2 linked regions of the Daphnia pulex genome follow. The protein of the gene in region 1 binds, or shares a complex with, the protein of each later gene. Links are inferred from orthologs where the notes say so. Each region holds a gene or a part of one and is shown on either strand. Other genes may lie near its edges.

Region 1 (4,479 bases):
GGATGGATGGATGGACGAAAGCTGGCTATGCTCTGTTTCATTTTGCTCCGCCAAGAAAAAAGAATGGCGGCGCTTGAGGACGGCGCTGAGCTGAGCTGATTGAGCTGAGTTGGTGGACGACAAGGGGAGAGACTTGTGGTTGTTGGCAGGCAAACATGTGCCGCAGCAGTTAACCAGAAACAAAGAGGGGGTATGTTATTTTTTTTTTTTTTTTTCAACCAAATACTACGGCTGTATGGATGGGGTAGTGGGGTAGTAAATCAAATGAAAAAATCCTGTGAAAGCAATAGGTTTTGATTTAAATAAGCAGCTCCGATATATATATATATAAAATTTGATATTTAATAATCAATTTGATTGAAATTCAAAAGTAAAAAAAAAAAGTTAGAATTTATTATTTTTAACCGTACCTTCCGCGGAAATCGGCACCGCCACGGGGCCCTCCGCGGCGATCACCTCCGCGATCACCACCACCACCTCCTCCTCTGGGTCCATTCCTCTCTCTGGCTCTGCCAGAAGACATCTCCACCCTCACACGAGAACCACAAATCCTCCTACGAGAAGTCAATAATTAATTTTACATAATTAATTACCATTGTATGTAATTTGGTTTCTTACGATCCATCCATGGCTCTAACTGCATCTTCAGCATCTCTGGGATCCTCATACTCAACAAATGCAAAGCCAGGGGGATTTCGGGCAACCCAAACATTTTTCAAGGCTCCATATTTGCTGAATGAAGCTTCCAAGTCACCTCTGGCTGTGTTATTGCCCAGATTGCCAACATAGACTTTGCATTTCAAATCCCATTCACGATGACGCGACATTCTAAAGAGGAAATGAAAATTTTGATGTTGAAATCTGGGTTTGAAAATAACTATGCTCGATTAACCGCCATCTTGCTTGGCTAGCCCGACCAAAGGCATCACCAAAAACATAAAAAGCATCTCTAATGAAATGCACAGAAAAACAATTGCATACACAAAAATGAACTAACAAACAACAATAAAGAAGAATGTTGTGACTACCTTTCTTGTTCCGGAATTTTGAATGTATTTTCTTTAGCAAATTTGGTTTCAGTATCGTTTTCAACGAGATGCTAGATTAAGAGTAACCTGAAGCGGAGTGAAAACTGACTACGTCATAAAGCTGTCAACAAAATGGAAAATCAGCGCTGCCATGCGGCAACAAAATCAACAAAAACATTTTTGCAAAAGACAAAAAAGTATGATTTTAAGTTTGTATTTGGAATATTGTGCAATTTTTAATCAAGGATATTTTTATCAGATTTATATTAGAATTTTTTATTACAATTAGATCGTCTTTAGATGGCGTTGTAGACGAGGCAACAACAGATTGATTTTCGAAAAAAGTTCGTCTGCTAAGCCATATTTTTTTAGAAATCTTTTACAAACAAACTCGAGTTATTCATCCTTTGACGATTCTATTGAATCAAATTATTATTTTGATTTGAAGTTTTGAACTAATATTGGCATTCTACTTTAAAACTATAGTTGCTAATATAAATCCAATTATATACAAATAAAAGCGGTTCTTCATCCGTCACGTCGAAATACGATAGCACTATATCATTGCTTTGCCAAGTTTGAGGAAAATCTTCCCGAATGCTATTGATGTGTGTTCGATTTTGATTTTCTCAGAAGACAAGGCCTATGATGTAGATGCTCATTCTTCCATTTACACATTGTAATTCATAGATATTAAGACCAGTTAACTTTATTTGTGGATTTCCAATTCCACACCTTATCTTAAGTTTGGTTTCTACTCTGTGCATGACAGAATTTGAAATGGAAGAGATGAAAGATATTTTGGAAGGTTCTCAACTAGTGGATGATATTGATCCCGAAGAAGATGACGCAGATGGACTGTACAAAGATTTCAGTAATATGAGAGAGTTTCATGTATTAGATGAAATAGTTGAAAGCAACGCTAATGATGACGATGAGTGTAAGGAAAATTCAGAGAGTGATTTCAGCAGTTCCAATGAAGCAGACAGTGAAGAAGATTTTGATATACAACAAGATGAAATTGATGCTATGTTGGAAGAAGGTAACTTTACAAACTATATGACATTTGTTGTGGATATTTTTTACCTGTAACTTGTAACTTTTAAGGTTTACCAGAAGAAATGAAATCTAGGAAAAAGTTCAAAAAATCAGATGGTTCTTCCAAGCCATCTGGTAATGGGGATGCAAGTATGGCATATGAAGAAAAAGAAAAAATTGTTCTTGAAGGTAACACTTTCAGGTTATTCCTTAAAAACATTTAATTTAAAAAAGTTTTTTAATTTTTATTTTGTGTTTTTAAGAAAAGGGTAAGAACCATTTCGAAGTTTTGCCTGAAAATTGGGTCCAAGTTACACACAACAGTGGAATGCCTATCTACCTTCACAAACCTACACGGGTTTGCACCCTTGCTAAGCCTTACTTCCTTGGACCTGGAAGTGCCAGAGTAATTTTTAAATTAAACATTACTTTTTTGTTTCTATTTAAACTCCCGAGTTCCGATCTTTAGAAACATGCAGTGCCAATTAGCGCCGTACCTTGCCTACATTACCAAAGAGCCAAGGAGAAAGAAGAACAGAAATCCGAAGAGCTATTAGAGGCCTCAGCTAACACTGCAGCAGATGGTACTGCTCATGTTGCCCCTGATATCCCCTGTGCTCGGATCGAATCAGTCCAAGAGAATCAGGCAGCACATTCTCTCAATGGAGTTCAGCTGCGCGAATACTGCTCCAAACGATTTGATTTTAAAACCGTCCGCCTTATGCGATTTAAGTGAGTAATTTGCTTAAATCTTATTAATACCTACTCATTCATTCATCGTTAAAAAATTCATACAGAACATGGGCAGCTAGGAGAAAGCACACCAAACTGCGGAAACAACGACAGATTTACCCCCAATCTGGTCTTTCCTTGAATGAGGATAAGAAACAAGTGATTGGCTCAAGCCAAAGCCCTGTTGAGGATGACGATGCTAAATTGTCACAGACGGCTGAACTGGGTCGACCAACTTTACCTAAAGGGACCAAACTTATAACCTTCCCTATCGGACATTCCATTCCGGCAACACACAACGATCCGACCTCCCAAAGCGAAGGACAAGGTGCTGCTGGTGGAGCTAATGGGTAAGTAAACATTATATATTGAAGGCTTCAATTGTGATAACAATTTCTTGTTTGTAAATCTCACAGTGGATCGCGACGGGAATGGATTATGAATCCGGCAGGGAAAAGTTACGTTTGCATCCTCCATGAATACGTTCAACATGCCCTTAAGAAGCAACCTGCCTATACATTTAAAGAAATTGGTATATTCGACTGCCCATAATGCAACGATTTTTGTTTTCATTGTTTTATCGGGTAATTTTTGTTCGACAGAGAATGCAGCAACGCCTTATAGTGCTACGGTATTGATTAATGGAATGCAGTACGGTACTGGGGTCGGTTCGAGTAAGAAAGCCGCCAAGGCGGAAGCAGCGAAAGCGACACTAGAAGTTCTTATTCCACAGATGAAGGAAAAAATATTGGACGAGGCGGAACCAGGTCACAAGGGACCAAATCATCAGTCTGACTTAGATCTATCCGTACGTTGCATTTAATTTTGCTATTAGATGCATTGAATGGTGTTACTTACCGTTTATTGTAAAGCAGTTTTTCAACGAAATTCGAATAGAAGACCCTCGCGTTGCCGAACTGTGTGCAAAAACGAGCGAACCATCCCCTTACGCAATCCTCCTCACATGCCTTCAAAGGTGATTCAACAGTTTTTCTCTTTAGCGTATTGAACGATTTTCAATAATTATGAATGTTGCAGAAACTTTGGTTTAGGCGATAAGAACGTCAAGTACGAGCTCAAAACATTGAAACATCAGAAAAACGAAGTAATAATGACGGTTGGAAAGCATACAGTTCAAGTACCATGCAAGAATAAAAGAGATGGAAAGCAAAGAGCAGCCCAGGCCATATTGCAGGTGAATTGTAATCAACTTGAACATCAGTTTCAGATTTTTAAATTTTGCGATTTGTTTTTCTTCATCTGGGAGAAGGCGCTGCATCCTCACATTTCTAGTTGGGGTTCATTGCTTCGTCTTTATGGTTCACATTCGCTTAAAACAGTAAAAGAGAAGAAACAAGAAGAACAGCAAATCACTCTACTCCAAAGCAAAGCAGCTGTCAACGCGCCCAATTACGCCATTCTGAACAAGCTTAGACAAGAAATGTTGAAGTTACGACAGATGAGGGTACGCAACGGCAGCTGTGATAGGGATATTTGTTGGAACAGAAAATTTATTTACATTAAATTTATTGGATACATGGCACTTTTTCATTGAAGTTTTCTGTTTATAGGAAGCAGTGCAGCCGATTGGCCGTTTCATTCCACCGGATGATGTTGGCATGCCTTCAACCTCAGGCGCCGATCTAAATAATGTCGATCTCTAAGTCATAATCTCGAAGTG
Region 2 (2,865 bases), on another chromosome or scaffold:
AACTGTCGATATTGCACGACTAAATAATTTCAGCGACTTCATTACGAGAAATCGTTCCATGTTGAATTGGTTGCTTCTTATAGGAAGTAAATTAAACTTGCTCAATTTTATACCTATAAATAAGCTGGATGCACGATGCACACATGTACAGCACACACCATTGCAGCCGACACAACAGATGTTTCATTACTCTCTTTAAGCTTTCTAGATGGTCTTCCATGTAAGTTTCACTGTTTCTAGAGAATTATTTCATGGACATCCCCTTTAAATGATCTCTGCCTAAGTAATAAAGTTCAACAAAACATCATCATACAAATAAAAAAAACAATTAACATATTTATTTACTTGTACTTGGTAGGATTTGCGACATTCATTTATTTAGACCCTTAGACTGAATGACGAAAATGACGTCCGAATGACGCATATCCGTGCCTTAGGCCTTAGCTTAATATTATAAAATGTGATAAAAGAGGTTTAACCTGTTTCAAAACAAGTTGGAGAAATAAAATTAATCATTGCAATTTCCAACACATTTACAGTTTTAAGATTGTTCTGCCTCTTTGTCAGAAACATTTTATTGAACGTCACAATTTCGGGGTTAAGAGAAAAACAGAAGTATAAACGGAAAGATGAATGAAATTTCCCATTAAGGAGCTTTAGCTGCTTGACGTCTCAACAAAATGTAGATTTTTTCTTTAATCCAGTCCTTATTGTATGGAGCATAAGTATTGCTGATCTTCTGGTACCTGAAATAAAAATAAACATGGAATTAGTTCCCTTTAAGAATTTAAATCAATGAAATGAAATAAATAATTGAAAATTATATTTTTTTAAGGGTTAATCATTAATTCAAAAGGTGTCTTTTCAATAATATAAAATGAGCCCTTACACTAGGCAGGAGAGATCGGTCAACTGATCAATGAAGTCAAACAATTGGCTGATATCATATGTGATGCTAGGAGTGTTTGGATTCAGTCTTTTTAAATGCTCTTCGTAGATTTTACAAACACCTTCCATACATTCGTTTACTGATTCATAATCAGAATACGTTCTCGTCTCCGGCTTGGGTCCGGGCTGGACTAGTAAGATCGTGTGAGACTAAAAATGTGGTATAGGAAAAATACATTAACTTATCAATTCCAACAGCAGGAAGCGTTTTTGTTTCAAATTAACTAACCATTTTTGTTTCTGTCTTGGAACGTTGTTTTAAAATCTTTAAATTCGCATCCAGGTTTGTTTTCTCGGAAAACTTTCAGTGCAGTTTTTTGGAGAAGCCTATTGTTAAAACGTTGCATAATTTCAAAATAGATGCAATCGCGCAATGAAGTCAGAAACAAATAAAAAGATATAAAGTCAGAAATCGTTAATATCTAACTTCCAAAAATTTAATTAAAATAATTACAATTTTTAAAGAAGTTTAAATTGACATGTATCAAAATTATTTTACGAATAAAATAAAGATAGTATAATTTAGCCTTTAGGGGCAATATGGCAACTTCCCGTCTTTTCAAAACAAACCAGCAAAACAAATATAATATACCGTCTCTAACCATTATTAATAAAGAAAAATTAAATCGGGAAATCGTAAACAGAAGTGCCCAATTTGCTTTGCTATCTGTATATATTATGCCTTAAAGTGAGACGTAATTTTTGTTTAAACTTAATTGATATGGCAACCAGTTTTCCATAAGAATTCCGTTAAATTTTGTGTCGGGAAAAATGAAGAGTAAAATGAAGAAAATGAAGCATTATAAAAGGATTAACCTTTTTGTAATACCAGTTACAGCTATAGCTGGGGATACTATCACCCAGTACATGTACCCCTACATATCGTTACTACTTAAATGCATAACTGATAGTGCCACTCATTTCCTTATAGCATCACTTTCGTGGAATTATGTAGACAATGTGTCATTCAATAAAAGAATTAATTTTGTTGCCATTATTATATGTGGATCAATGGCTTCTGCAATTGATATTGATCATTTTTTGGCTGTTGGAACTACCAGTCTTGAAGTAAATATTCATACAAATTCCAGTTTAAGTTTTTTAATCTGAGTAAATCCCATTTTCTACAGGAAGCTACATCTCTGCCTCACAGACCAGTTTTACATTGCACAAGTCTGTTTACAGTTGTTGCTCTACTATTGGCCTTACTTTCCATCAGAATTCATTCCATCTGTCTTCTCAAAATGTCTGTAATTATTGTTACTGCTACTTGGACTCATCATTGGAGGGATGGATACAGACATGGAATTTGGATCTGCCCAATTGGTTCCACTCCACCTTATTCATACTTTGTTTACCTCATCGGCCTTATAGTTTTGCCTATAGGTTTGCAATTTGGCTTGAAGTTTATCACTGACATAGTCACAAAATCGAACGTAAAACACGTAGCACCGATATTTTTAATATAAATTTCAGCTTCCCCATTTACTGATCTTGATAAGTTAATGCAGAATGTCTTGTTTTTGTGTTTCTCTTCTACTACAGCACTTAGTGGTTACAGTTAATAAGCAAAAAATATAAATTTATTATCTACCATTTGTTTTGGATTGTTAAAAGCAGGTTTTGTGCAATGAAGTAACTGCACGCATAGAACATTAATAAGCTACGAACGAATCTACTAATCTAGTGATTTCGTGGTCTGTTAAATTTGATCGGTGACGCGATCCATTAATACGATGGTTCATGGTTGTCTTTGTTATTATTTTAAAGGTTTATACGTGCGTCGTTCTTAGATTTAATGTCACTGCGTCAGCATGCCGTCAGTGAACTAATTATAAATGAATGCCTAATGAAAGCATTGTGGCAACGTCTCTGAAGGTCATTTGCTGCTGGGTTAGGTTAATAAAAAAATAACAG

The links.
Region 2: the proteins of microprocessor complex subunit DGCR8-like (region 1) and enhancer of rudimentary homolog are in contact, whole or in part, in a crystal structure (PDB 7CNC), measured with the Homo sapiens proteins. The link is inferred for Daphnia pulex from reciprocal best matches to the Homo sapiens genes DGCR8 and ERH. Residues at the interface, in NP_073557.3 of Homo sapiens: Lys107, Phe108, Ser109, Pro110, Asp111, Leu112, Leu114, Leu115; in NP_004441.1 of Homo sapiens: Val8, Pro10, Thr11, Thr18, Tyr19, Ala20, Glu27, Lys34, Met35, His39, Arg42, Met43, Phe60, Leu64.

Annotation. Positions count from the first base shown.
Region 1 is NC_060024.1:13,485,084-13,489,562, reverse strand, and holds the start of microprocessor complex subunit DGCR8-like, read left to right. Parts: upstream 1-1,379; 5' UTR 1,380-1,793; coding exon 1,794-2,070; intron 2,071-2,135; coding exon 2,136-2,255; intron 2,256-2,329; coding exon 2,330-2,472; intron 2,473-2,535; coding exon 2,536-2,798; intron 2,799-2,863; coding exon 2,864-3,148; intron 3,149-3,214; coding exon 3,215-3,330; intron 3,331-3,400; coding exon 3,401-3,606; intron 3,607-3,670; coding exon 3,671-3,774; intron 3,775-3,836; coding exon 3,837-3,993; intron 3,994-4,068; coding exon 4,069-4,263; intron 4,264-4,291; exon of another isoform or gene 4,292-4,369; coding exon 4,370-4,462; 3' UTR 4,463-4,463; coding exon of another isoform or gene 4,464-4,479. Other genes in the region: RNA-binding protein 1-like, read right to left, coding at 411-554, 619-827; transport and Golgi organization protein 2 homolog, read right to left, coding at 4,464-4,479.
Region 2 is NC_060018.1:8,869,774-8,872,638, forward strand, and holds enhancer of rudimentary homolog, read right to left. Parts: upstream 1,282-2,865; 5' UTR 1,181-1,281; coding exon 1,178-1,180; intron 1,099-1,177; coding exon 890-1,098; intron 747-889; coding exon 647-746; 3' UTR 533-646; downstream 1-532. Other genes in the region: probable ATP-dependent RNA helicase DDX28, read right to left, coding at 1-60; transmembrane protein 267-like, read left to right, coding at 1,720-2,016, 2,079-2,417. UniProt on the Homo sapiens protein: May have a role in the cell cycle.